Linked DNA regions of Saccharomyces cerevisiae S288C. The gene in region 1 interacts genetically with each later gene. Each region holds a gene or a part of one and is shown on either strand. Other genes may lie near its edges. The genes, in order: MKK1, OMS1, ILM1 and PTC1.

Region 1 (8,978 bases):
GGATGAACGACTTCCTAGTTGTGGCCCTAACGGTGGCTGCTGAAAAAGCTCTCATTTTCAAATATTCAACTTACTCTTCCACAATATGTCCTTGTACTTTGGATCTAAAGCGGCACTTGGAAACTTATTATTGTTTTCAAATGCTTACGGTAATACCACGGTATATTGTTCTGGTTCAGCTGCAGCAGGCGTTATGTATAACTCATGGGAGTTACGTTTGCTTCAAACGTAAACTCGCTGGAAATTGCGTTGCGAGGTATTAAAATATCACTGAATACGTATGCCAAATACAAAGACATGTAAGACATTAAATGCTAATCCTGCTGATTAAATTAATATATCTATATATTCAAATTAAGTTTGTCGTCAAGCTGTATAAAGCCATACATTTTAGTTAGGCTATCCTGGGTATGAATCTTGTATGGAGGAAAATTTTTTTATGGAAAATGCGAAATAAAGTAAAATAAACTTAATCATGTTCGCAAAAAATTGCTTATTGATTAATCTTTCCAGCACTTCCTCACGAATTTTTCCATATTGACATTTTTTTTCATTTGACCCTTTATCCAAGGATGATTGATCATTTGTCTTGGAGATGGCCGTTCACGACTATCTTTTTTCAGACAGTAGTCGATAAAGGATTTGAATGATGGACTCCATATGATATTAGATTCGGGTTCATCCTTTAATTCAGGAGTAAATGTTAAAATCCACATTAACAATTCAAAGGGAGCTATATTGGCTGCCATCTTCTCGGAAGAGCATGGAAATTTCCCGTTCGCCACTTCCAAAATCGTTAATCCAAGTGACCATACATCAGATGTGACACTGTATGGTTGACCTTGAATCCTTTCTGGAGCCATATAGAATGACGTCCCCGTGAATGTTGTGGCTAGCGAGTTAACGGCTTCTCCACTGACCCCAAAATCACAAAGTTTCACCTGACCATTTTCATTCAGTAAAATATTCTGGGGCTTAATATCTCTATGAATAACTTTTTTTTCATGCAAATATGATAGTCCTCTTAGTACCGCTTCTGCAATCTTCCCCAGGACTTTTTCACTGATCCTACCACCACGCTCTAACAAATTTTTATAAATAGCATCCAACGATCGCCCACCCATGTACTCCATAGCAATATAAATTGAAGAGTTTTCGTCATCCGTAAACATTCCATAATATCGTACGATATATTCGGATTGGAAACTCCTATTAAACTGTAATTCTCTGAATATTTGCTTCTGATACTCGGGATCTGTATTTAATGTGTTTATCACTTTTAAAGCGAATATTTTTGATCCATTTTTCAATTTACACTTGGAAACAGAGCCACCGGCTCCTTCTCCTAGAATGCCTAATGTCTCGATCCTATCTTTTAAATTTGCATATTTCCAACCATTTTCATCCAATTGATCAACATCTCGTACACTGTTTAAGTCTATGTACGATTCAGAAGATGATTTAGGCTGGGACGATGACTTGATGGGACTTGAACTTTGTTCATATGCCGATATCAAATTTGAAAAGTCAGATCCCACTGAATTGCTCAGATCATTTCTGAGGTAGGGAGAAGAGGTGTTTGTATGTGAAAAGGGGCTTGCCATCGATGAAGGGGTTAAGTCACTATTACCAGACAACTCATTTTCGGCTATCACACGCTGTTTCAATCCTAAATCATGTTTACCATCAGACACATCGGCGATGGGTACGAGTTCGGGTAGTGTTTTGCACTTAGACTGTGAATTTATGCTGAGCGAAGGTAAAGATGGCGGTGCAGGCCTCTTCTTCATTGTATTTAAAGTCATTGAAGAGTCGCTAGGATGAAGTCGAGTTTGGGAGAAAAGTGTCGATGTGGAAGAGGTCAGTGGTTCTGGGGTGTGGCTACTGTAAGCTGTGGTGGAACTCCCATTCGACGTCAAGTATATATTATTTTCATCTACCTGATTATTTCGTAAGAGGGGCAGTTTAAGTCTAGGAGAGTTTGGGTTGCATTTCGCAGATTCTGGGGGTCTGAACAGTGAAGCCATACTGGGCAAATTGTGCAATGGAAGGATAGAGTTAATTTGGTCTATGTACACTGCGAGAAATACGCAACCATAAATGAAACGCAAGTTATGAAAAACCGGATCCAACCCTACCAGAGACCAACTTTCTTTTTAAATTGTGCCAAATTTTTGCTGCCCTTTAAAATAGAACTTCCTTATTCTGAGCCGTCACACGCCTTAATGATAATCAGTCGATCCGATTTTTCAATTGTCGCAATGACCTGAGAAATATAATTGCTCGTGTATAGTGACTTATTCGCCAGCAGGTGTACGGTATCTTTCATCAGTAGTAAGTATTGTTTAATTAAATATTGAATAATAAATATACTAACAGTAGCTCATACATAACTTTAGGCGCGCACTTTCATCACACAGGGTAAAGAAACCAGCCCTGGGTGAGAAAAACTAATAATAGTTAAAAGCATTAAATATATAAATATGGCCTTGTTCCGCGCGTTTAGCATGGCGACTATTCGCTTTCCTCGGTATAGGGCTTGTAGATGCTGACTAAACTATCGTCATCGACAGTACCAACCAAGTTTTCAATAACTGGATGCCAAGCGGCGGTGTTTCTTCTTCCAATCTGTTTTGGAGATCTTCTGCTTCCACCCTTGTGCAAGAATCTCAGAGATTTTGTTTGTGATTCTTCAGTGGCATCTTGAGGAGGAGCAATGGTATCGTCAGGATTGTACTTTGACAAGGAATAGTCAGTGTTCCAGTGGTAAATATTACCAGTGCCGCCCACAGTAAAGAATTCAGAGCTTGAAGTGGCAGAAAATTGGACGTCGACAACAGAATCACCGCCGGCATGATAGAAGTTAGCGATTTCATTCTGAATTGGATCTTCACCGTTTTGTCTATAAGTCAAATCAGTGGTGGCAGCTTCAGCCGCTCTGGCATCCCATAACTTGATAATACCCGTACTGAAACCGGTAACAAACAAGTTGTTGGAAACCTGAGAGCAATCAAACGAGGTCAATTTTCCGTTCTTTGGTTCTCCCAACACCCATATAGGCTTGTCGGAAGTTCTAGTGTCCCAGAACCTCAGAATATTGTCATCTGAACAAGACGCAAAGATATGATTGTCGAAAAATCTTACGGTGTGAGTCACAGTGGTACCAGGCACATGAACAGTACGTAGAATCTCACCAGGCTTACCGGCATTGTCAATGATTTTCAAAATACTGTCTTCTTCATCACCATTACTCTGAGACTTCACAATGGTTTCGGTATCATTGGAAATGCCGAAGTCAGAGATGGCTAATGAGAAATCCTTTTCAGGTAGATCACCAGGTCTGGTTAAAGAATGGATGCTGGCATAGCTGGTTGCTGGACCCATCAATTCCTGTACAATGTGAATAGGGACCTTTATACCCTCTTTGAACCAAGCCAACGACCCGTTCTTAGACATCGACAATAATGTAGTTTCTCCAGTCTTATCTAAGTAGGCCATTTTGGAGACAGTTTCACCCTGGTACACGAATTTTGGGCTCAACGAGGTGTTTTCAATACCTTCAAAGGCGTCACCATAGTCTTTCACCGGTTCTGAAGCGGCTTCTTGTAGTGGTACAGCGAAGTCAATTTCGTAGATATCACTACCTTGAGAGTATATAACACTTGAGGTTAGAGTGTTATTTTTTTTATCTGGAACAACAACGTTGCTGAACGTCAAGGACTTCCTTTGGTGCAGAACATTGTCCACACGAGACACAAATTTTGGTCTTAAGCTGGAGATATGTTCATAAGTGGAAGGCGTAGATGATTTCCAAACCTTTTTTGGCATTTTTGGTTGTAATGTATAGTGTGTTACAATTTATTTGTATCTTTCAAGATTGGTTGATTAATAATTAATTTTCTTATCTAATATCTACAATTCAGGCGAATATAAACTTTTCGGATCTTCTTTTTTCCCTCCCTTTATACTGGAAGCTACAGAACTGAAAAAAAAAAAAAAAAAACATAGAACATTAAGGGGACAGACTGCATGGAAAAGGAAAAGGTAAAAAAAAGCCCCGAAATGGTACTCTTAAATATGAGATGATAAACGAGGATTCGAAGGAAAATAGCCCAACTATCTACGAGTTGAAATTAAAAGGGAGTAGTGAGCGCCACTATGTGTGCTCACTGTGTATAGCTAAGCAATTACATAAGGGATAGTACATAAACCACCGTATGTTAGGAAAGAGGAAAAAAAGGAAAGACAAAGGTCTTTTGCCTATTGTATGACTTAGCCTTTCTTTGTTATACCCCGGCGCGTTCCAAAAAGGGAAGCCAGCACAGCACCGCATATTGAATACCGCCTTCTCACGTGGTACAGGCACAACTATCTTGCATGTGCCTCTGGGTCTTTCTTAGCGACAGCCTTTTAAGATTCTGAATTGTAAACATCGAGCTTCATCCGAGAAACGAAAGAGGGAATCTTGAAATGGACTATGTCACCATTAGATCCTCCCTCTTCTCCATATAGCCGGTTTTTGTCTTATTTCTTTGCTGGAAAGAAAAAAAAGAAATTGCTTGGTTAATTACTGGTAACCCTCTTTTCTTGAGGCCTTACTTCGTTGGCTTCAGAAATCTGAAAGAGTCTTTATTAGGAGCGATACCAGTATCTATACAACATTATACCATCACTATATATTACAAAAAAAAAAATAACCCCGATAGCGTGCTAGAAATGAATAAAAAAAAAAAAAACAGAATTATGTACGTGAATGCTTGTGAGTTACTGCCTTTCCCATAGGTGGTAACGTTAATTTCTTACTCTTTTTTTTTTTTAATCGTCGTAACCTCTGCCAATGAAGTCACTGGCCAGAAATGGTTTGTAGGCAGTAACAAGACTATCTGAATCAACAGTGCCAACAAAATCATTGATTACGGGGTGTAGCGCCACAGTGTTCCTCTTCCCGAATTGGTTGCTCGATCTTCTTGTGCCACCTGTGTGGAAAAATTTTAAACATTGACCCTGAAGTTCCTCCGGAGCAGCCACTCGAACTTCGTCTTCGTTGTCATCGTCGTTTCTTGAAAAAGAGTACTCCATGTCCCAGTGGTAGACATTACCCGTTCCTCCAACCGTAACAAATTCTGTTGCAGAGGTTTGTGAGAACAGGATATCGACAACGGAATCGCCGCCAGAATGGAACAACTTGGCTATTTCGTTTTGGATCGGTTCCTCGCCGTTCTGCCTATGTGTGAGGTCAGTAGTAGCCAGTTGCACAGCACGCGCATCCCATAGCTTGATGACACCCGTGCTGAACCCAGTGACAAATAGGTTTTCAGTAACTTGAGAGGAATCGAAGGACGTTAGTCGTCCATTTTTCGGTTCGCTTAGCGTCCAAAGCGGTTTGTCCGCTGTTCTTGTGTCCCAGAATCTTAAAATGTTGTCATCTGAACAAGATGCAAATAAATGGTTGTTAAAAAATCTAACTGAGTGAGCCACGTTGGTCCCTGGAACGTGCACTGTACGTAATATATCTCCCGGTCTATCGGAGTTGTCGATGATTTTCAAGATGCTGTCCTCCTCGTAGCCGTTACTTTGTGACTTTACTACCGTATCCATATTTGTCGACACATCAAAATCTGACACTGCTAATGAACCTGGTCTGGTTAGAGAGTGAATACTAGAGTATCTAGTAGCAGGGCCCATCATTTCCTGTACGATATGAACGGGAACCTTGATCTCATCTCTGAACCATGCCAAAGAGCCGTTCTTGGACATCGCGATCGCCGTACTGTCGTCTGAGCTTTCCAAGTATTGCATTTTTGCCACTGTTTCGCCCTGGTAAATCCACTTTGGGCGCAATGGTTTCCCCTCAACATCTTGGAAAGCATCACCATACTCTGGATTTGGGGTGGCTGCAGACTTCGTCTTGCCGTTACCTTCTTCGTCGTCGTCGTCGTTGTCGTCGTCGTCGTCGTCGTCATAGAATGTCTTTAATGGTAAAGTAGTGTCTATTTCGTAAATATCACTACCTTGAGAATATAAAAGACTAGTCGTCAAGGTGCCCTTGGATTTGTCTGGAATAATCTCACTTCTCCATGTCAGTGTCTTGCTAAAATGTAAAACATCGTCGACTCTTGTGCTGAATTGTGGTTTAAAGCTAGAAATGTGTTGGTATAAAGAAGGTGCCGGTTTACGGCGTGCTCCACTCGCACCCTGACTGGATTTGCTTTTCGCCATCCTCTATCCTTTTTAGTTCTTGCTCCCGTCGCTACTAATTGCTCCTTGTCTTATAAGTAAATGTAGCTGTACAGCAGAGATGTTCCATACGTCAGCTAACTAATTGCCTTTAATCTTTTTTTTTTTTATTTTTTTTTTTTTTCAAAAACAATAGAATTGAAGATGTGAGATGGAAAGGGAAATCAAAGTGCCATAAATGGTAAAGGCTTGCATTATGACCCGAATGGGTAAGAATGATCCAATGAGAGTCTGCGGACGCATATGTGCGGAATATGACTTAGCAGTTCGAACCCCGAACGGGGCTAAAAAACCAAAAGGACAAACCTTATGCGGAACATCTACCATCTATTCAAGGGAGTATAGCTTCCGTGTAGACTATAGAAGAAGCGTTCCAGTCAATTCTACTACATCAGTCTTCCGACATCGCTGATTGTATCCTAACCAGGTCCACAACTAAAATTTGTTTTGAAAAGAGTGGCTAGAGAGCGAATACGTGCTCTGTAATTGTGTGAGGCAAGTTGGTCGTCAATTGGAAAATAAGTAAGGAAAACCTTGTGTAGATTGTATTGCTCCTAACAGGTCCCGAATTACTAGGGCATATACCAGTTAGCCCAGAGTTTTGTTTATTACGATGATAAAGTTGCATGAAGTGCCTCCAGAACCAGTAGACCCTGCTAGTCTCCCTCATGATGTTAATGCACATAGCCCCGAAGGAGATGGTAATCCTGATAAGAGGAAAAAAATATTTGGCATTCCGTATCCTTTTTCCAGGAGTTCATGTCGGAGATTCCTTTGGAACTGTCAAAAGATTTCGGTACTGCCCATGGCATTGTATTTCCCACTACATGCAGCAAATACATTAATCACGCCGGCAGTATCACCTGATTCTGCTCCTGACGACGTTTTAATGATGGTGAGAGAGATTTTACCGTCCATAACTACCAAGCTGTTAGTTGCGGGTATTACTCTTCATGTTTCTGCTGGTGTCTTGCTCCGAATCGTGAACAACTGGAACAAGCCAAGAAGAAATAGACATCGACATTTAAAGATATCGGCCGAACAAGATCTATCCCAAGATTCGATTGGTTTAACTGGTGGAATTTCTGGCTATTTATTTGGATTGTATAAGACCTTCCGCATTCCTCCACAAGTGATTAGTGGATACATCCTTGTTCCCGTCCTGATATACCACTTATTAATTATGAAATGGGTGCCGAATTCCATCTCTACTGAGGTGGATTTCGCCTCTATAAAGCAATTACTATCTAGCAAGAACAGGTGGTGGAAATGGCTTGGAGGCCTGGTGCCGTTAGCTATTCTCCTCGAGTCAGGTGTATATCATATAGGTTCGGGGCTCTGCCGTTATTTCGGTGTTAGAAAAATGACTAGCAGGAAAAAATGGTCCACAGCTATCAATCTATTAACACTCGTTGGGTTCGTTTCTCTGATTAGATTGATGAAAGAGGATTCTACGAAACTGGGTCCCAACCAATTCGAAAGCATTTTCAAAAAGATCCGGTTGCTGTTGCACGTGAATTAGGAATCCTTGTGGGAGTAGTGTGAAGCTATTAATTTGCGACAATTCTCGAACAGTTAATTATATTATTCTCAGTATTTATTTTAAATTTCTGTATTTTTATCTGATTAATAACATTAGTGTGCATAATGAAGGCAAAAAATTTCGGCAGAAAGTATATGATTATGAAAAAACGTAAAATACATATACACATAAAACGTACATACATATATAGATTCCTAAGAATACATTATTGATGGGATATTTATACAAAGATGCACCTTCTAATAATCGAAAGAGAAAGGAAAGACAGAAGCATAAAATAATTTAGGTTTTACTGTGACGAACATTAGACAGATCGTTCAATAGTTTGTCATATTTTTTTGTCACTGTTTCATCTTCAACAAGGGGCCTCTGCAAAGGCGCCTTTTGTTGTGATTCTTGTAAACTGTCATTACTCGGGCTTCTAGAGTTCAATTCATCTCCATATAATGATTCCAATCCAACCTTTTCAGAGGTAACATTTTTAATCAGATCATCTACAGAATCAATACCCTTAGCTTTAATAATGGCATCCCTTAATTCGGCACCGGTAGGAATCTTTGGTAAGATTTTTGGCCTTGTACCAGATGTGCGAGAGGATTCCCCTTTCTTTCCTCCGGCGACACTGCTATCTGGTGTTAACGACCCGCTAATTCTCGAAGAATTGGCGGATGAAGGAAGCCCAGAGTTATGTCTTGAGCTTTGGTGCTGTACAAACACACCCCATTTATGTAATTCACCTTCCTCTTCTTCCTGTCTCTTGCCGGCCAGTGAGGTATTAGACGAACTCTTGAAAAGAAGAGCTTTACCAGTGGTCACATCGATGATTCGTCCCGAGTCGGTGGCCATTAAGTGTGGTCTAATTGATGAATCGTTTTCAGGAATTGAAACATCGTTGATTAACCTGTCAGAATCTAAGTGTTTTAGAGATGGACGAATACCATCATTATAGTTTGCGCTAACCGTGCTATCCCCAATATTAGGGAAACTATTATCGGCTTTTGAAAATGGTACGACATCTGCTATATTGGGCATAGAAGCAAAAATATCAAGAATATTTGATAAATTTTTCTCAAGAAGCAATAACCTTAGTAGGTTTTCCTTTTCCTGCAGTGGCAGTTCGCCGGATTTTCTTTTCTCAAACATAGAATCAATTGTATTTTGAACATTATGATGTACCTTTTCCATTTTCTCAAAATAT
Region 2 (9,192 bases), on another chromosome or scaffold:
AAGGACATTTCTCGGTTGCTCAGGATGTAGTTCAATGTCGGATTGGAAGTCATGGTCAGATTCTATGTTAAGATCATTGGATTCTTGGATCTCATTTGACGCAATGAACGAATGATATGAAGCAGTTAAACGGTTTAAGTCTTCATCGAAAGTGAGTGCGTCGTAATTGAATTGATCTAATCTGGATTCCTTGCCCTGAAGAATAACATAGTTAGTTGTATCTACTGTCTTCTTTAAGGATGGAAGATAGATGATATATCCATAAGAGTTTCGAGACGGATGTAGAGCGTAGCCTGGGATGCCACGAGGATGTATTTTGGAGTTAGGGTTGTGATCATTGACGATAACAGGTTGACCGAAAGGTAACAAAGTACTGATATCAAGTCCTGCCAAGCCAGCATGTTGTCTTGCAGATTTTTTGCTTTTAGGTGAAGCTAGTGAATTTCTCACAATAGTAGAAAATTCGATTGCAGAGAACCATAAATGGTTCGGTAAACCACTACATTGCAGTTGAGTACGGCAGTCATCTAATAAGGTACGGTTTAGCCGTTCAGCGACTCCATGTGCTCGGGAATCCGCTGTGGTTGTATAGCATGGAGTTATACCATTTTTTTCAAGGAATTTATGGAGAGTTCTGTTAGTATACTCAGAACCACGGTCCATTTGTATAACCAAGACACTGGCCTGAAACTGGTTTTTAATAAAAGCTAGTATCGTAGTAAAAACATCGAGGATAGAGTCCTCGCGACGGTCGTGTAATGGATAAACCCAACGGAATTTTGTTGTCTCATCAGTAAATGAGATGAAATAGGATGGTGCACTATTTGGTAGGTTGTGAACTGGACCAAATATGTCAGTATGTAGGTATTGAAAGGGTTCGTATGAATTTTGGTATTTTAGTCGTGAACCTTTGATATGTCTGTGTTTGGTGCTTTTGCCGATTAAACAATCAGGACATTGATAGTCAATAGCACTAGACCAGTCGACATCTGATTCGTTAAAATACGTGATGGTGTTATTTTTAAGTGAGTATCGAATTGTCTGTGCATTGGCATGCGCAAGCATTCGATGAATGAAAGGATAAGGATATTTGCGTGTACTTTCACTTGTATGGACATTATTGATGGTGGGTACGGAGATATTTGATGGAAGCAAGTACTTTTTAGATACCCAGTAAAAGTCTCCATATTTTACGATAGGTGCAAGTACAGTGCCGTCAGACCGTTCTAAGACGTTTTTGGTAAAGCATGCTGTGATATCTACTGCAGCCAATTCATTCAAACTGAGTAAGTCATAGGCTATGTTAGGAGTGTGCAATACCTTTATTGATGTTTTGGTGTTGTCCTGGAAGTGAAATTGTAGGTCACCAATAGCGTTAATTGGTATATTTCTTTTTTGAGCATCAACTACGTTTATGTCAGGATTAGATGATGCTGAGTGTATGTGATGAGCAGATCTTATAAGGGTTCGTGATGCTCCTGAATCGAGAAGGAGGTGTCCAGGGAGTTCATCATCAGAATGATTAGTATGATTTACTGTAGATTCAGTAAGTTTCTGGCCTAAGATGAAGGTCGTGCTTATTGTTCAATTGAATCGGTTCAGTAGTTGATTTACTGATGGAATCGTTGTCCGTGCTGGGAGAGTTATTAGATGTGGATACATTGTGAGCCCTGGCTGTTTTCGATTTCGAATTATTTGTTTTTTGAGGATTCCGAGCTATAACTTTGGGTTTGGTTGTATTCGTATAGCTGCGAGAATCATTCTTCTCATCACTCGGATTTCTCCTGTAATTAGGTTTGCTGTTTCTCGATCCCTGTTGTTCTTCATAAATAGCATGGATATCTAAGAACAGTTCAGCGACTGTCATATTTAGATGTCGATGACGTGTGTAGCGTAAAAATTTATATTCGCCAGATAGACCTCTCATAATTAATTGGCATGCGACCTTGTTATTGATATGAATGCCATTATTGTTCAGTCTGTCGATAATGTTTGTGACTTTTGTTTCAAATGCATCTGCAGGTGTACTGCCATTATATTGCAAATTTGCCAGGGTCACAATGTCGTTTGCCTCTTGGGTATCAGATTGCATTTTTTCAATACTTTTGGAAAGAATTTTCATGATATCCGTATAATCAACGGATAGGATGTCTTTGACCCAGGTAGGTAGGAATTGAGAGGGAGCAAATATTTGAAAAGTGTTATACAAGAAGGTGAGTTCATCATCAGTGATCTGACGTACGGGTTTTCCGTTTACTGTCGGAATAATACCACCGAGATTCGAGTTTTGTAAAAATTTGATGTATGTTTTAACCCAATTTGGAAAGTCATTAGGTGAGGTTAACATTGGTGGTGGTCTGACATATTTTTTAGTGGATGTCATATCAGAGTCCGCTGAGGATGAATCAGTAAATGTATTACCTGACTCAGGTGATGGAGTGCTCAGAGGCGTTCCAACTGATGATGGATACTGCGGAAACTGTGATTGTGGCCCAGGTGGAAAGTACATAGGCGACATTTGATAAGGTGTATACGGAATCATAGATGGGTGTCCGTAAAATGACCAACCAGATGGATTGGCTTGGTTTTGGGTCATCATGCACTGCTGTGGGTACGGCCCATTCTGTGGAGGTGGTACTGAAGCAGGTTGAGGAGAGGCATGATGGGGGTTCTCTGGAACAGCTGATGAAGCAGGTGTTGTTGTCTGTTGAGAGTTAGCCTTAGTGGAAGCCTTATCATATTCTTGAATTTTGGAAGCTGAAACGTCTAACGGATCTTGATTTGTGTGGACTTCCTTAGAAGTAACCGAAGCACAGGCGCTACCATGAGATATATGTGGGTAATTAGATAATTGTTGGGATTCCATTGTTGATAAAGGCTATAATATTAGGTATACAGAATATACTAGAAGTTCTCCTCGAGGATATAGGAATCCTCAAAATGGAATCTATATTTCTACATACTAATATTACGATTATTCCTCATTCCGTTTTATATGTTTATATTCATTGATCCTATTACATTATCAATCCTTGCGTTTCAGCTTCCTCTAACATCGATGACAGCTTCTCATAACTTATGTCATCATCTTAACACCGTATATGATAATATATTGATAATATAACTATTAGTTGATAGACGATAGTGGATTTTTATTCCAACAAGATTTACCAATCTCATTTTTTGGGGATTCTTTTATCCTCAAAAAAAACTTCATGAATATTCTGTGTACCTAATTATGGATTTATCACCAATGCAATCCCAACACTTATTCACAAGAGTTACCTATCTTAATTAAATGCATTGAAATAGAAGAAAAAGTTTAATTTAAATCCGATTTGAGCGATTTGATCACAACGATCTGTTTCATTTTTCACCTTCTTATGAATACTGAAAACCGCAACGCAATAAAAATAAAAGATTGCATATATAAAAGACAGACCACCCATGAAGTTCCGTCTTATGTTAGCGGACTTAGCTCAGTTGGGAGAGCGCCAGACTGAAGAAAAAACTTTGGTCAAGATATCTGGAGGTCCTGTGTTCGATCCACAGAGTTCGCATTTTTATTTTTTCCCAGTGACGCAATTTTTGGATTGTTAATAATAGCGTCGTTACGTCACATATGGTCAGTATGATCACTTTAGAAGTAAGGAGAACTACCTAAGGGGTTTTAGATCACATTTTAACTTGCTTACTGAAATATTTACACGATTCTAAGCCTGTATAAAATTCATTGGTATGAATAAATATGTTAACTTTTACTTACAGGAGGTACTGGCTCAAGTTCTTTTTTAGATGCCATATCGTCTTTTTTTTCGAATGATTCCATTCTCTTTCTAATACTTGATTGCAAGTATTTTTCTACAAACCCAAGCTCGTCTTTCTTTTTCACATCACCTTTTCTCTTTGCAACGATACACCAAGTAGTGCCTAAGTGAGTCCGTTTTTCTTCCACCAATTCTAGGTCAGAATCATCTAACACTTCGCCTAAGTCGAGATTCCATCGACAGCCCCAAGTATTCAGTCTTCTTTCAGCTCTGTTGTCTAATATCTTATTTATAAAATCGTATTGACCTCTACCATGTTCCAGTAAAATAATTCTTCCATCTGGCTTTAATAACTTGCCAAAATTATTAAGTGCCTTAACCGGATCTTCATGGGAACACAAACCAAACGCCTCCACGATAGTATCATATTTTACTTGGTTTTCCTTTTCATTCTCTAGAGAGGGCTTACCTTTCTCTGCTAAGTCTACTAGATTTTCCGCCTTTCCAACAACAAATGCAACTTTTTTATACTTAGGAAACTTTTCTCGGAATTTTTTATGTGTAATTTCCATCATATTTTCAGAAGAGTCTAAGAATGTTATAGAGTTGATGCGTGACATATCAAGGTACTTGATATTTCTTCCTGTACCGCATGAAACTTCCAAAACATCCCCTTGACAATGTTTCATTAACCATTTCCTTCTTTTACCGAGAAATATTACTCTCTCTTCCATATTAATTGCCTTATCATATTCGTTAGCTTTTTCTTGGTAAAAGTTTGTTGTGTCTCTTGCTGGCAATATTTGTTCATTCAATTTGTTTTGATCAAAATTCTGTACCCGAATATCATCGAAGTTTTCAATGCCTTCTTCTTGCATTTTTTTGTATTCTTCTAATTTCAATTCATCTCTCCTCCTTAGTTTTCCTTTCAATTCTTTAATCCTTAATGCTTCGTATTCATTGGCATTCCCTTCTTCTTGTTTCTTCAACAATCTTTCCAGTTCTTTGTCTTTCGCAAACAGTTTTTTGGTAAAGAAGAGACCATAGATTAAAAATATCACATAAGCACCGATCATGTACTTGGTCATTCCCTTTGAAAACTTTTCTGATCTCGCAATAGCTCCCCACCTCACAAATCTATTAGGTGACCTCAGTTGTTCTTCGAACCTCTCTTTGGCCAATTCTTCTTTTGTTTTTTGCTTACGAATGACTCTATTGCTATTCATTTGGAAAACATTTTTAAGCTTTTTTTTACTTTTATCATCATCAATGTGGCTGCTGTTATATTTATAAGATGTAAAAGATAATGATCGCCTTTGTGATTCCAACAAAAGACTCCTGGATGCCGGTTGTCGAATGTGATGTAAAAGGCACGTAGGAAAGCGACGAAATACGATCATCCTCACTTACTTATGGTTTTCTTGTTCGTTCCTCAGTGGTTTATTTATCGAAGATATTTTCACAAGGTACTTTTTTGATGCGGTCCCATTTAGGGTTTCCAAAATTAATTCGAACCGTGATATGCTACCAGTCGAAAATTGTCAGAGATAAGTTCCTTTTTTGAAAAGAAAGATCGATGCAAGTCATCGGACGTGGTGGGGCAAATATACTGATTGATTATGGGGATCCTACGTGGTTGTGGCGATGCTGCATCCGTTGGCCCGATCTGTTATCATCAAATAATTCTTATACAATCAAAAACATCAGTTATATTAAAGATTATGTAGAACCTCTTCTACATGGCTTGCTTTGCCCGATGTATCTGATTGACGTCGATATAGAAGCTATAAGGCCAATTCTCAGTGACTTTATTCTAAATTTAGACGATAAGGTAGTCAAAGTTATCAAAATTAAAAATCTCACCAATAATACCTCAAATCTGATATTAAATAACCACTTTTTAAAATCTTATTGTTCACAAAATCTGCAAACAGTTATTTTAGAATTGAAGCCTAAATGGTTATACTATGATACAGATTACTGTAGGAACTGTACTCATAATGCATTTAAGGGTAGAGGCACTAAGTACTGTTACAATCAATTACTAATGAATCCAGCACACTTGGAATTAATATTTGGAGAATGTAATATATTTCCGGTTAAGTTTAAAGATGCCATGCATGAGTACTTGCGCAATGACAATAACATTTTCAAGATCCTTTATGATTTACAGAAAAAACTTACAAAGAACACAACTCCAATAAGTGACATAAAATCAATCAACGATGTAAACGATGAGCATCTGCTACTCATGACACTCAGAGACGTGACATGTTTCATTGAATGGAACAGTGCTGAAAATGCGTTGCACGTGAATATAATAGATGTAGATCTAAAGCCAAAAGAAAAATGGACCCATTGGACAAAAACTTACAGCCAGTTGACATCAAGCCAAAAAATTTATCATACTTCAAATAAATAAACTGTATACTTTTCTTTCCACCTTTGGTACTGGCAGATGCACATACATTACCATTTGTAAAATATATGGATAGATAAGTATTTTTTTTTTCTAGTGGCCCTCTGGAAAATGTAAATAATAAAACGGAAAACACACAAGCCAGGGTGAATGACCAAATTCGATATTCAACGAAGGGTCAAACCTTGAAACCTAGCATACATGAGTTTAAGGAATAGTGAGAAGAAAAGTAATGGCCAAGAGACTGTTAGAATCAAGCCAAAATGATCAGGCCAATCGAAAAAACTCAAAGATTGAGAAGAAAGAAGTATCGTTTTATGAGGAGGAAGAAACAGATGATTCTTTTGATAGTTTTTACCAGGATGAAGAAGATGATTTAAGTGATATTGATTGGGAAGAAGTTTCTTTAGATGGAAGCTTAACTGTCACATTTGGCAATATACGCAGAGACAGGGAGAAAGTCAGCAAGTACAAAAGAAAGCATAATAAAAAAGCATTCAATTATCAGCGACTTAAATATGGACTCCATTTGATAATGATTCCATTTATGTTATTTTTGTTAAAATCTAGGATGAAATGGATAGACGATGAAAGACTAAATAGGCGACTAAGAAGGTCTGTACCAAAATTAATTGGCAAAAAATTCAAAGATTGGGATGTAAGGGATCCAGCTTTTAAAATGGATTCTTTAAGAACCCTTTTGCTTGGTTTGGTCTTATGGTTCCGTTCCAATTACAAAATGAATAGCAATGGCATTAGACAGAATTTCAACAGGCTGCAATACCTTATCAAGTATGCCGATAACCAAAACGAAAATTCAATCTCTGAATCTACATATAAAAAAGTTCTTGAAAATCAACAAGAATTTTATGGAAATAGGCCGTTGATAAATCATGGTGTTGAAGATATTCGCAAGATGGCTAAAAGGAAAATGGCCAACAGAGATATTCTAACGTTGTTCTTCTTTATTATCTTAGAAAATGTGCTACCGGGGCCTAAGAAGCTTTACTTATGCTTTGCCTTGCCCTTGCACGATTACGATATTAGGTGCAATAAGGTGAAGTGGCAAATCGAACATGGTATTGGCAAAGTTCCCAACAGATTTGACTCTGACCTAATACAACCTTATTTTTGGATTGAATTAGAAGTTCCTACTTTGAGCGATGGTGAATTATACATCATTGACCCTATAGCCCATCTGGGTGAACGTGAAATGGTCTTGAAAACACGCGAAGATCAGTTTGTCCCTACTTATCAACCTTCGGTAGACATGAAGTACAACCTAAACCAAAAGTTTCATTATGTAGTCCGTATCAATCATGCTGAAAAGGTACTACAAGATGTTTCACCAAGATATGTGCCAAATGTTTGTTACAGGTACTTTGAATTATCTGAGTCTTCTCCTATTTTGAAATCGAAGCATTACACTAGCTACCAATATCTATCTAAGTGGTTGAAAGTCTTGAACAAGAAAAAAGCATCTGTTCATCATTACGCAATAATGAAAAAGATTGCTTTAACTAATTTTACATTACCAAAGAGTGTGACAGAGATTAAAAGAACAGATAATTTCGTGATTCCCTCTCTGTTAAAGTCTAATGAAGTATTAAAAGCATGTGCAAAACAAGCCGCAACATTTACTAAGGGAGACAATTCACAAGAGCCCATATTTTGGAGAAGAGACGTCATTCAATTAAAGAGTAAACAGCACTGGGCAATATTAGGGCGTTCCATTCTACCTAATGCTCAACCATTAAAACGTAAAAAGTATCTACCGATGAGGGAAAGGATGGTAAGAAACCTAGACAAGTACGTTATCAAAGAATTGTTTTCGTATGAGCAAACAATGAAGTCTCCTAAATACCCCAGCACGTATTGCGATCATTTAGGACAGGAACATGTGATAACAGATTTGTCGCATTATAAAAATAAATTTGGCAACATCGAAATTTACTCGAAAGAAACTAAGCCTGATGGATTTGAATTAATACCGCTTAGCAAAGAAGTTGATATTAAATGCCTGATAAAGGAGTATAACAAAGGTAAAAGAAAGATGCAAAAAATCAAGTATTTGGATGTGGTAAGTGGATTTGATTTTAAACAGAAAAAAGGCCATGCCATTCCGAAAATTGAAAGCATTCTAGTCAAAGAGACAGACTATAAAGCAGTCCAGCTTTTGAAGCAGCAAACTAAAGTACTACTGGGACTCTCGTTCTGGGACATTCTATTAAGAAAGCTACGAGTTAACGATCGATTAAATGCTGAGTACGGTAATGTTGGAAATAATGAAGAAACGTTGGACGACCATTGACTACATCGTATTTCACCTTTTCTAAAGTAAAATGGATTCGACGCTGTTTCGCAGAGGGTATAAATGTTTGCACGATCGATAGAGCGTATGGAAGCCTGTGCATAATCATATCTCTGGAGAAGGAAATCTTCGATAAGGGCCAGTGAAATAGCGGAGTATCATGGAATCCGGGTAATGGGCATCGAAGCAGCTCACCGAAGAGAAGAATAGAAAAGAAAAAGTAGAACTATTCTCGGGATTTATAGTAAACAGGGGACGGACGATTAAGAAATAACCTGATCAAACACTGTACACTACTGCTGTTTTTTTTTTTTTTTTTCTGCTAGAAAAGAACATATGAAGAACTAAAGCGCATGGTTATTAAAGAGGACTGTATCAATAATCTTGCCAGGTGGCAGGCAGACGAGGAAGCTCACAGCTGTTTTCAATGCAAGACGAACTTTTCGTTTCTCGTAAGAAGACACCATTGTAGGTGTTGTGGAAGGATATTTTGTTCGTCTTGTACCGAAAATTTTGTTAATTATAATAAAAAGAGAGTCCATGCCTTGCAGAAAAAAAATAGCGACGTGGAATCGCCTCCATATAGAACTTGTAATGAGTGCTACGATAACCTCCTTCATTTAAATCTACTAGTATCCTCCACCAACAGAGATGTACGACTATCGCAAACTTCGGTACCACCAAATGCACTTGCA
Region 3 (4,189 bases), on another chromosome or scaffold:
CTACAGAAATACATCATTTTACAACACCTTCGGCTTTTTCTTAGAGAAGTCCACTGGCAGTTTTGTTGATCCCGTTATCACTAAGGAATTCCCCATTATCATTGGATTTATGTTATTTAACGACTTATTAACTCCACTCGAATGTGCCATGCAATTCGTGATGAGTTTAATTTCCAGAACTCATGAATATCAAGCTGATGCTTATGCTAAAAAATTGGGCTACAAGCAAAATCTATGTAGGGCTCTAATTGATCTACAAATCAAAAACCTTTCCACCATGAATGTAGATCCTCTGTATTCTAGCTATCATTATTCCCATCCAACTCTAGCTGAAAGATTGACCGCTCTAGACTATGTTAGTGAAAAGAAGAAAAACTAATCTATAGAGTACACATATTAGCATGTACCGTTAAATTCAGCTTCGTTATGTCTATATCTACATACATACACAGGTATCTACTATAAGAATAAAGGAAAGAAAAAATAAACGATTAAACATTTTATTTTTTTGCATCGCTATCATCATTACCTTTCTCATTGTTATCATCATTATCTTTCCCATCTTCATCGTCATTTTCTTCATCATTGATTATTTCAATGATTTCTGTGGTTTCAGTCTTCACGGTAAATGGTTGGGGTTCTTCAATATCCTCATCATTAACCATGAATTGGTTCAATCTTTTGAACTCTTCATTTTTCTCCTCCCTAATGGCATTATACAAAAGAAAATTTATCCAAACTTCTGCAAAACAGTAAATAAAAACAGAGTTATTGTGAACGTAAAAGTTTGACTCCCAAAGGTACGAGATACTTGTCAAAATAAAAAAAATTAGTAATCTAACTGGCACAACAGATTGGAAGTATTTAACATTGTTTTCTAACAGGGGAATTAGATCATGAACACCGTTAAGAGTAAACAGAAGAGCGAAAAGACCCAATTGACCACTATAACGTGACAGTGTTAACTGCGGTAAATTCATCGCTTGCGTTAAGACTATGAAATATGTATTTTGCAAAATAGAATTAACGTTCTTTAAACAAAAGAAGGCGATCGTGAATAAAAATGCTACTCTGAAAAAAGCAATATTGGTGGAGTTCAAGGCTTGAGCCATTTTCTTAGAATTTATTCTTTACTTTTGCTGAATGCGATACTCTATTATGTTGTAAATTGTTACACTACCATTCAATTGTCTCTCTTTAAAGATTGATCGACATTATTTTCTTTACTTTTTTGGTGTTTTCGCGCTAAAAGTGGCGTGCTAAATGCCAAGTATTATTCTAAAAAATCATTACGCCATACACAAATATTGAAGACTATCTATCTAACTTAACACCAACTTGCTTTATTAAAGAGTCAATATCCTTCAAAGACTTAGTGAAATACAATTCATCGTCAATATAAGGTTCTTCACCGTCGCTATTGTTCAAGTTTTGTATTGATTTTAAGTAATCCTGCGTACACAGGATACTCACTTTACTGTCCGTCGTGGATAGTTCATTCCACTGCCTAATACTTAAATGGTTTTTCTTGTGTCTTTTATACGTTCTAATTGAATCATAGTTATTCTTTCGCAATACAAAGGCTATTGAACATATAGTCTTACATTGGGAACAAAATATATCGTATTCCTCATCTTCATCGTTTGGATCAGTATGCACCTCCAAAAGAGTTGTCCGTGGTACAATGGCCTGAATTTTCCGTATGCGTTTTAATTCAGTATTATAAAAGACGATCAATGAAGAGTAACATTGCCTAACAAAAGCATCATTGAACAATAGAGTATCTTTATTGTACTTGTCCAAAACATTGATCATTAAATCAAACATATCAAAAACACATGCTTTCTGAGTTAATTTATAATCCGTAATCGCACCAAATCCATATGGTAGCCAGAAATCTATAGTAAAATTGACAGCTTCATTAAAATTATAACCTGTATTAAAACCAGCATGGTAACATTTAGGAAACGTGATAATATATTCGTTGGGCTTTTGCACAGCTTTGTACACAGGAATACCTGATTTCTTGAAATTTGGATCGTACGGAGATATTAAAGTCACTAGCTGATGCAGTAGGTCTGGTTGTTTGATAAATAAGTCTGGTGACATATCATTTAATAGATCGTTGAATTTCGTACATCCCGATTCGGGAATGCTGTACCAGACCTTAGGGTCACCTTCATGTTGATAGTTAGCACTTAGGGTATACTGATCTTCCATATGCCAACAAAATGTGGAAAATAAGGAGCCTATGTAAATCCAAGGAATAGTCATGCCAGAAATATTTCTTTTAAATAACGGTAATAGCGAATTATGAGCCATAGGCAAGTTAGTTAAATTCATAGGATGATCGCAATATTTGAGGTAGTCTATCAATTCGTCCCCATTTATATTTTTGGGTATAAATTCTCTCGTCGGAAAGCCGGTAATTTGACCTGGCAATTCGTTATGTATGTCAGCACCGTATTTAACTGTCGTTAATGAACTGCGACGATTCTTGGTCACTAAGCTCCAAAACATCTCTTCCAACTCATCTATAGACAGTTTTCGTGCTGGTAATAACCTTGAATTTTGACGTTTACAATATTCTTGAAACTCTGGTAGAGAATAGTCATGCGTGTCCTGAGTGAATCCGTAATATCCGTTTCCGACGATACAAGTGTTACAAATCCAATCGCCAGAGGGAACACGTTCCAAAGGTGGTGATAAACAATATATATGGAATGGTTTGTCACATGAATCACATAAAATTGTTCTTTTTGGATCATTTGTCTTGCGACAAACAATACAAGCATCATCATCGTCCTCCTCAAAATCCGACCCAGAATTCGAATCTGGCCCAAGATCGAAATCGTCCTCGTCATCACTTAATAAGGATTTTGGATACTGGTCAGCATGCAGCGCCGTGTGCACGTTCTCGTTCAGTGAATGAAGAAATATGTAGTATGAGGCAATATATTTCTCAAAAATTTCCTTTAACAAGCCGATTGGTACGTTGAATTTTTTAGAAATGGTCCTCCATAGACTGATGTCGCCTCTTAATTGGGAAATATCTCTAAATTTCAATTTTCGCCTGAATGACTGTGTAGTGTCAGTAAGTGTCCGATTGTCTTTTATTAGTTCAGAGAAAACGTCATAAAAGTACACTTTTTTTTTTAGTATTTCCGATGCATGAGTAGAATCTGAATATTCTACAATCGTATAAGGTTCCCTAAGTATAAGTTTCGATGGATCCTTAACGGATCTTTTAAAATTATTTAACTGTTTCATAAAAAATAGCCTACACCTATTTTTCAGGTCTAGGTTCTCCAGATTTTGAATTCTTGGTTGAAAAGTAAAATTTTCCATATCAATAGAAAGTGGCGGGCAGAACCCGTTTGGTGGTACGACCTTGACCATACCATATCGTACACCAAGCCTTTTAATGTGGGGGTTAGAGAGATAATCGATCGGATTTTTGAATTCTTGTTCCGTTGGATACAGGGCAGGAATTTCCTCCATGATAGTGATACGTTTTTTGTGCAAGATGAGATTAGTTAATATGATCTAGAGGTAAAATTGACTAAGTAGTCAGATCTTATTCTACATTGAGCCTGCGTTGTCAACATGCACATCTCTGTCTCTTGGGATGATAATTTTTCAATGATGATTCCAGGGTTACTTTAACGTTACACAAAAGAAATTAATTAGTGCGGCTGTTTCTGTGAGCGGGGCAGTAAGTCCGAAGCCCTTGATATTAGCCCATACCCTACACATTTTACTCGTTTGCCCTACATCAGATAAAATACTGGCCCTAAGCCCTCCTAATCTCTTCTGGTTACACCTAGGGTAAAATATCTGCCTTTCTTTGCATTCAATGCGTTACTTCTATATCACGAGATGAGCATACGGATCGTGTATAATACTAAAAAGAAAGCTCCTGAAAGAGTTGTGACAAGCAAGACTGTATACTACTCCTTCTACGAAAGTTAGTTCGAGTTCTTGATGGCACTTGGCTATTCTATTTCTTGAACCTTTGAGAAAGAACAGAAGTAAAAGGCTGTGTATTCTGCTACATGAAATACAGTAGTAGTCACAGTACAAAAATACTCTAAACCAGTAATAAAGCCACATATATATGTATTTCCTTTCACGTGATGCGCTGGGATGTTATCATCTTATACGCAATTAGCCGCCCATATGCCACCCG
Region 4 (8,513 bases), on another chromosome or scaffold:
TAACAATACCACCAACAACGACAGCAATAACAAGAACAATTCTATCACTACCGGAAATGATAATGAAAATATAGTTAATAATGATTTACCAACGACCGTTGTTTCCAATCCTGGAGATAACCCTCCTCCAGCCGACAACGGTGAAGAATACTTGACATTAAATGATTTCAACGACCTTAATATTGACTGGTCGACCACTGGAGATAATGGCGAATTAGACCTCAGCGGCTTCAATATATAGCTTGGTCTTCCTATTGTTAACTATTGACTTGTAAACCGTGTTGTGCATTCGCTACGTGAATTTAATTGGTATATATATGATAGAATATGTTCTCCAGTTTAAAAATCTGGAATCCTATTCTACTAAAACCTCATTCGTCATGTGAGAGATGCATGCAAAATAGATTTGGTACGTTTATACATATACATACATACACACATACACATTGCATATCTCTATGTCTATGCATAATTTTTGCGCGGTTTATAACGGATCCTTCTTAGAGGAAGACAACCATGACCGTTACATTATCTGTTGTGCCATTTTCCAAAGCATATCTAACCAAGACTTTTGCAGCTTCATTAGGTTCAGTAATATCCTTGATTAATTCGCATGCATCTTGATCATCAATAACATCCCATAATCCATCACACGCTAGGATTAAAAATTTGTCCTCAGAAGTTATTTCTACGCTCGTGGTAAATGGGCTGCCCACTACTAAACTATCAAAAAATTTATCCCCTAACGATCTCGTCACTGCCAGCATACCATTTACACGACTTTTCATTATCAGGCCACCTGCTTGTTCAACTCTCTGCATCTCCAAAGTGTCAGATGCCTTATGATCATAAGTCAGTCTTATGCTGTTCCCGTTTCTAAACAATACTATTCGAGAATCACCAACATTTGCTGTATATAACTTTCTTTGGTGTTGGGCTAAATCCATTGAATCATCAGAAACTGAATCCGGAAGCTCCCAACGTAATACGCAAACAGCAGCAGTACATCCACTATTTCCTACAAGTTTTGTATTAATTTCTTCGTCAATGGCTAGGAATGAATCGTTCAATACATCTCTAACATCTCGTGTTTCATCTGCCAAAATGTTTTGCTCTATAATTGTATGAAGATGTTTACCACACCATTTGGAGGCCTGAATCCCAGCATGTCCATCAAACACCGCGAAATATCCCCAATCTAATCTTGAAGCAAAGTTTTTAACATACGTATGAACATCTTCCATTGTCCTCCGAAATTTCGAGTTTTTATTTTCCGCCACACCTACTCTATAAGTTATGTCATATGGTGTTTCTGGCCTTTCTAAGATTTCAGAATGATTACTCATTATAATGATTTTTAAAAGATAAATGCAGTGCCTAAATGATATATGAAGTAAGAATGTGCAAAATCTCGTATACTCGGTATAGAATGGAATTTAACTCACCTCCTAATTGATAATACTGCCTATTTATTTTCTTTTCAACGACAACAAAAATAAGCGTTCACTTACTTAAACTATCAAAACTTGTTGTGTTTGGGGTCTGTTAATGTAAAGGAATCCGGATAAAAATTTTGAGACAACTTTGAGAGCTGTTTAAGACGAAAAAAAGTGACCTCAAACACACGAATAATAATGTTTAACTAAGCTTTCAATTTGCAAAGGTATACTTTGTCTTTTGAGTTTTAGTTTCCTATAAAATTAGGACAACAAACCCTCTCAGATGTGTTCACCAGTTTTCCTTTGCAGTTAGAATTCGCGAAGGCCCCGACGCCCTACCTATATTAAGTTTTTGAAACAAATATTGCACGTGATACAAAATGTACACATATTAAGCTTTGTTGAAGCATTACTTATATACGTAAATCTATTATAGAAAAATGTAAATGGGCACATCACAAGTATAAACCTTCTAAATTTTCCTCAACTTTATTTTTCATGACTCTCTCCTTGGCTTGTTTAAAATCCTCCGCTGTAACTTGCATTCTTCTCTCTCTAAGGGCTAACAAACCTGCTTCTGTACACATTGCCTGGATATCGGCGCCTGACAAATCATCCTTTGTTGTTACTAAAGTTTCAAGATTAACGTCCTCACTTAAATTCATCTTGGAAGTGTGAATCCCTAAAATTTTTTTCTTAGTACTTAGATCAGGGTTTTCAAATAAGATTTTACGATCAATTCTCCCAGGCCTGATTAATGCTGGGTCAAGAGTCTCGATTTTGTTAGTGGCCATAATCACCTTCACATCCCCTCTGTCGTCGAACCCGTCCAGCTGGTTCAGCAATTCCAGCATGGTTCTCTGAATTTCTCTCTCACCACCACTATTGGAGTCATATCTTTTAGTACCAATGGCGTCTATTTCATCAATAAATACAATACTTGGTGCATTCTCACCCGCTACTTTGAAAATTTGCCTACACAACCTAGGACCATCCCCCAAATATTTTTGAATTAACTCTGAGCCAACAATCCTTAAGAATGTGGCAGATGTTTGATTTGCAACAGCCTTTGCTAGCAATGTCTTACCTGTACCGGGTGCACCATAAAGAATCACACCCTTGGGAGGTTTGATACCCATCTCTTCATACAGTTCGGGGTGTGTTAACGGTAACTCTACAGACTCTTTTATTTCTTGAATTTGAGATTCTAAGCCACCAATATCACTGTATGATTCTGTTGGCGACTTATCCATTTTCATGACCGAAACCATTGGATCGGCGTCATCCTGTAAAACACCTACGATGGACATGGTTTTATGATGCAATAACACAGAACATCCAGGCTCTAGTAACTCTTTATCGACAAAGGATAAGATAGATACATAATAATCAGGCATAGTTGGACTTGTCACTATCGCATGATCATCGTCTATAATTTCTTCAAGGGTCCCAATGCTCAATGGATTTCCACGTATTTCTTCCAATTGTTTCTTTTCCTCCTCCTGCTTCTTTTCAAAGGGTTTTAAAATTTCAGAGTTAGAGACAAATTCTTCTTCTAATAACAAATGGTCTTTAATTCGTTCCATCCTTAGAAGCTTTAACTTACAACGAGTACTTGGATATATGTTGGGTAATTTTTCAGCAGTAGCTGGACCTCCCTTTCTTTTCTTACGACCAAATTTAGATTGAACGGGAGGTTCATATTTGGGTTTCTGATTAGATCCCTTCTTCTTCTTTTTGTCTTGTCCAGATGATACACCTTGTCCCATTTTATTTTCTATTAAAAACGCTGTCTCTTCTTTAACTTGAATTGACTGTAAGCTTGACACTGATACGCATCATATTCACTAATATTCACATTAACCTTCTTTTAGGTAAAAGAAAAGAGACATTTGCCACCGGAGAAAAACCGTTAATAACTCGTTACCCGGAGTGATAAAAATATTGGGAATATAAAAATGACGACAACTGCAGGACTCGAACCTGCGCGGGCAAAGCCCAAAAGATTTCTAATCTTTCGCCTTAACCACTCGGCCAAGTTGCCTTACTAATGATGAATTATTGACTTAAGATATATCCCAAACCTAGGAATATGTAAACCTGCTGGAATATTATTTGTTAGAATAAAAATCAACTATTCTCTCTCAACTAGTAGTCTTACTACGAGTATATTATAATGTACAATGTTAGATGATGACATAAGGTATGAGAAACTGTCATAGAAGTTAGAGGAAGCTGTATTCTGTATACATAATATTATTGCCTTTATTAACAATGGAATTCCAACAATTATCACTTGTTGATAGTTAGAGGTAAAAAATAGTATTAATGAAGAAATAAGTATTGATCTTCTTATACTAAATAAGAGAGGTATATAAAACACACGCCGATTGGTCATATTAATCATGACCAATATAATAGTGATTCCGGTAGTTACTATACATTGATGTGACGACTCATATTCCTCATATATGTACCTACCATATCATGTTCAATTAATAGATCTTTAGCACAGCTTCAGTATTGTCTGAGCTTCTCGTTTAACATTCCTTCTGCAATAGGTGCAATCACACTTAAACGTATACGAGGTGTACATTAATATACGGTGTAAGCATTAGATTGTTACCATAGCAACTCATGTCACTATTAATTACTCTCGTTCCAACATCACTAAATTCCCGTAATTACCACCGCAAAAGAAAAAAGAATACAAGAAATGGAAAACTAGCGCATAATTTTGTTTCTTTCTTTTTCAAAGTTGCAGCCGCTACTATTGATTCGTTTGAAAATAGCACTTGGCGGCTAAACTACCGGCATAGAAAGTGGATCGGGCAAAATTAAAAGGGAAAGAGCGACGGGGTTACGGGACCATTACATAAAAAAAGTATCACAAAATCTATTGTATGCAAAGATATAAACCATCACATTATTGAAATAATATCGTTCTTGATACTTCCATAATCCAAGAAAAATATTTCAAGCACTTTCTTGATGTTCCTTCCTATAATTTTTCACACCATCCTAACCCTCCTGAACTTTGGTAAATATTACTGTTTACCTATTCAAGAAGACGATGATAAATCAGGAAAAGAAATTGAACAAATTTTAGACAATAACATCGAGTCATTAGGACTACTACTAAATTCGATGTCCTTATCCTCGAACTTTACGACAGGCGATCCTGAACTAGATTCGCTCTTCCAAGATGATTTAATCCCCGAGTTATATAGTGTATTAGATGGCTTCTAACACCAAGTATGTGTATTCTAAGGGTATACAAAATAAATACTGCGATACTATTCAATTCTTCAACAGCAGCTTACTAGATGTAAAATTAGTTACTTCAATTTATACTGTCACTTTTGCATATTTTCAATAGAATAAAATTACCGACGTCTGCCTATTTCTTCCATTGATGGATATATTTCTTTCTCTATCTCATTGCTTGTTACAACACCAAAAGTTTTGCTAAGAATGTGTATAGGAAACAAAAGCCAGAAGTCATTTCGTTCCAAGCCTTTAAGCGCCTAATAGTGAACTTTGCACCGCATACGTTAGCTTATGGTATGTGTGGTAATGTGTGAATTGTTTGTGATATGTAAAAAAAAAAAAAAAAAGGCCACGCTCAAGCACACAATGAAATAAAATTTAAATTTCGGGGCCATTCTACCGTTGGTTTTGCTATCTGCCGGAAAGAGGAAGTCCACAAGTGCCAAAAACTGTCAGTTACATTTTAAAAATAATCGAAATTTATTTTCTTTTGCTATCTCGGTTAAATATTGATGTGTGATTTGGCATAGTTGGCCATTGTCTTATGATTTCTGATTCTACGACGTTCCAATTTTTTATAATCAGTTCAATAATAATAATACATCGATCGGTCGGTCATATTCTTTTCTTTCTTTTTCTGTCAAGGCGTTACTGACGCGACACACAAGCGGCAGGTATAGTGACGTTTTCCGTTGAATGAAGTAATTCTAATGAACCTACGGTTCTCAATAGCATTGGCAGAGGCAGCTGATAAATGTACAGTAGTTTTTACCAGGAAATCCAGCGAGTATTACACATCCGTAGACGCGCTATGTTTTTCCTCAGGTTATCTTTCAGTAATGCTTGAGATCTCTAAAGGAAGTATACACAGTAATAGTGTGACCCAAAAGTTGTTAAAATTTCCGGAGGTAGCCATTATATACCAATTTTTGTATAAATTTACAGGATTAGAAGGTACCTAAAAAACTATAACATGTCAAGAAAGGCCTCTGAGAAGTGAAACAATACTTCCAAGCACAAATATATATTAATAGAATAATGACTGCTTGGTAGTTGAGAGATTACATGTATTGCATAGTGACTGAAAAAATTTAGTATAATTGCTATGTTGCTAGCACAGTGTTAGAATAGGGGCAGATCATTTGTATCATATAATGGGGTATGGAGAACAGGTACCAATTGGGCATATTGAATATTTCGAATATGATGTTATCTCCAAGAATGTACATCATGTCCATTGTGACATTTCATGGTTTTATATATGGGGTTTCTGCATTTTTCAACAAACATCTCTTTTATAAGCTTTGCGCTAGTTATGGTATTTATTTTTCAAATTAATAACTTACAAATAAACAAAACTTTCTCAACTAAATATTTATTTCTTCCCTGTAGACTGTAAAAATTTCGGAAGCAAAAATAAACCTCCCTGAATGTTAAAGGTGATTATTAGGTGAATAATTTGATAATTGTTGCAATTCCACTGTTTGTAAATTCTATAGTATTATGTATACAGAATACAGCTTCCTTTAACTTCGACGACAATTTCTCATAACCTTATGTCATCATCTAATACCGTACATGATAACACACTATAAGAATTGAGAAACAGTCATCAGATGAGATGGAAGCTGCAAATGCAAGCATTGAAAATATAATAAATAACGAATGATAACAAAAAATGTGGGGAAGAAAAAACAACATTACCATGTATGATTCTTGCTTCCCTCTTGTAGTATCCTCTATCTTGTAAGAGACGTTGTGATATACTGAATACCCAGTAATATTCCCGCTATCTAGAATGAAAATTGTTGGAATTGAACTCTAATATCATCTATTTAATATTATATTATCACATGCGGTGTAAGAAGATGACATAAAGATTGAGAAACAGTCATCCGATCTAATGGAAGCTGAAATGCAAGGATTGATAATGTAATAGGATAATGAATGACAACGCATAAAAGGAAAGAAGATAAAATAATAACATTATGTAGAACTATCGATTCCCTTTTGTGGATTCCTATATCCTCGAGGAGAACTTCTAGTATATTCTGTATACCAATATTATAGCCTTTAGCAACAATGGAATCCCAACAATTATCTAACAACTCACATATTTCTCAAAAATAACACAATTTTATGAAAGTTCACATAATTGAGTTAGAGCTTGAAATACTCTAACTTACAATCAAATGAACACAAATCAGAAGCTTCTATGGCCAAGTTGGTAAGGCGCCACACTAGTAATGTGGAGATCATCGGTTCAAATCCGATTGGAAGCATATTTTTATGTATTCTAAGTATGCAACGATACCGCTGTCATCGTTAGCATGATTAGTACACTGTTGTTCTTTTTCAATCTAACAACCTTAACTTCAGTTCCGGCTACAGTACATCTATTCAACGATTGGAAAAGAAAATTTTTTTATCTTTAGCTGCAACAAGAAAAAATCAATATTAAATTTTCATTTAAGTATACAGAATGTTAACAGCGTTCACAAGAAAAGAACCGTATGGAAATATAGCTAATTGTGATTTCTAAGTTTCTTTTTTATCGTAACAAAAAGTCTTCGTCCAGGATGGTATCAACTTGCTGTCTACCGATTGGGTTATCGGTGTTTTGCCTTATTGGTTCATCAAAGTCCACAAACTCTTCTGCGACGCCCTCCTCTATCATTTCTTCTCTTCTTCTTGAAACTATTTCAACGAACTTTTGGACATGAGCGTCATTAATTGCTAGACCCTTCTGTAGCTGGAAAGTTTGCCTACACATCGGACACAGTCCTTTTGAGGTTGGTGTATCAAGCCAACGGTATATACAATGATCATGGAAGTTATGATGACATAGCCCAATCACTAAAGGGCATTGATCGCCTGGAAATTTACAGCTTGGACAGGTACCGTTATAACTGGCACGACAGATACCACAGACATCCTCGTCTTCATCATTGCCAATTGGATCGTTATTGGCTGCGTCCTCATCAGATGTGCTAGGGATGTGCCATGACCAAGCAAACACACTGTGCACTTCGTTTATTTTAACTTTCATATTTTTATAATCTGTATTGCCACTTTGCTTGTTAAACTCTCCCGATATTGTACAAAGTTTTTGAAGAATGCATTATTTTTTTATCTGCAGACACGGAAGATACAAAAGTTATCTCGGCAGCTTACCCTTTATATCGAATGCAGGCGTAGACAAAAGTGCGTTGCATAACTTACCAAGGTGAAGTGCATGGACCAGCAAAGGATAGAAGTTATTGTAAACATCGAAACCATAAACTTATATATGTATATATGAAGGCATTAAGCGTTTTATGTTTTCACAACCCTTTTAAGAGATGTCTTGGACAAAAAAGCTTCTTCGTTGGTGATAGCTTCTTTATTCCAACTCCGAAACGCCTTGTGCTAGGAAAACTACGCCTTTCCAACTACACTGCATTTCACGACCTAATCATTCACGACCTCTTTATTTATATATTTATTCTTAATTTTTTCTTCTTTCCTTTTTGTAACAATTTCAATTATTGGAAGGTTTTTCACGTTGCTCAACCGAGAATTTACCATCACTCCAGACTTGTAATGATTCTAAAAGTTTCCCTTGAGTGTGCAGTTTCTTGATTTCTTCATTACCTCCTCTTGATACTCCATTAACCAAAAGGTTTGGAACAGTTCCTCTACCGGTCACCAACTTGATATATTCTTGCAGCTCTTCCCCATGTCCATGTTTGTCAAGTTCTATAATATAGTAGTTTGGGATAAACTGATACTCATTTTCAAGCAGTTCCTTCATGCCCTTGCTAT

The links.
Region 2: mutations in MKK1 (region 1) and OMS1 together harm fitness more than expected from each alone (negative genetic interaction), as found in Saccharomyces cerevisiae (3 studies listed by BioGRID).
Region 3: mutations in MKK1 (region 1) and ILM1 together harm fitness more than expected from each alone (negative genetic interaction), as found in Saccharomyces cerevisiae (3 studies listed by BioGRID).
Region 4: mutations in MKK1 (region 1) and PTC1 together harm fitness less than expected from each alone (positive genetic interaction), as found in Saccharomyces cerevisiae (6 studies listed by BioGRID, with this or other methods).

The regions. Positions count from the first base shown.
Region 1 is NC_001147.6:765,650-774,627, reverse strand, and holds MKK1 (mitogen-activated protein kinase kinase MKK1), read right to left. Parts: upstream 2,028-8,978; coding exon 501-2,027; downstream 1-500. Other genes in the region: mitochondrial nucleotide exchange factor MGE1, read right to left, coding at 1-55; WTM1 (transcriptional modulator), read right to left, coding at 2,515-3,828; WTM2 (transcriptional modulator), read right to left, coding at 4,816-6,219; MCP1 (Mcp1p), read left to right, coding at 6,851-7,759; HER1 (Her1p), read right to left, coding at 8,063-8,978. UniProt on the Saccharomyces cerevisiae protein: Involved in a signal transduction pathway that play a role in yeast cell morphogenesis and cell growth.
Region 2 is NC_001136.10:1,089,738-1,098,929, reverse strand, and holds OMS1 (putative RNA methyltransferase), read right to left. Parts: upstream 5,168-9,192; coding exon 3,752-5,167; downstream 1-3,751. Other genes in the region: YDR316W-A (gag protein), read right to left, coding at 1,544-2,866; IPK1 (inositol pentakisphosphate 2-kinase), read left to right, coding at 5,344-6,189; RAD34 (Rad34p), read left to right, coding at 6,419-8,497; PIB1 (phosphatidylinositol-3-phosphate-binding ubiquitin-protein ligase), read left to right, coding at 8,851-9,192. UniProt on the Saccharomyces cerevisiae protein: Mitochondrial methyltransferase which suppresses respiratory defects caused by OXA1 mutations when overexpressed.
Region 3 is NC_001142.9:642,990-647,178, forward strand, and holds ILM1 (Ilm1p), read right to left. Parts: upstream 1,113-4,189; coding exon 501-1,112; downstream 1-500. Other genes in the region: STE24 (zinc metalloprotease), read left to right, coding at 1-379; JHD2 (histone demethylase), read right to left, coding at 1,315-3,501; DMO1 (Dmo1p), read left to right, coding at 4,137-4,189.
Region 4 is NC_001136.10:432,742-441,254, reverse strand, and holds PTC1 (type 2C protein phosphatase PTC1), read right to left. Parts: upstream 1,347-8,513; coding exon 501-1,346; downstream 1-500. Other genes in the region: MED2 (Med2p), read left to right, coding at 1-241; proteasome regulatory particle base subunit RPT2, read right to left, coding at 1,895-3,208; YDL007C-A (uncharacterized protein), read left to right, coding at 4,431-4,688; APC11 (anaphase promoting complex subunit 11), read right to left, coding at 7,261-7,758; YDL009C (uncharacterized protein), read left to right, coding at 8,007-8,330; glutathione-disulfide reductase GRX6, read right to left, coding at 8,230-8,513. UniProt on the Saccharomyces cerevisiae protein: Serine and threonine phosphatase. Involved in tRNA splicing and cell separation.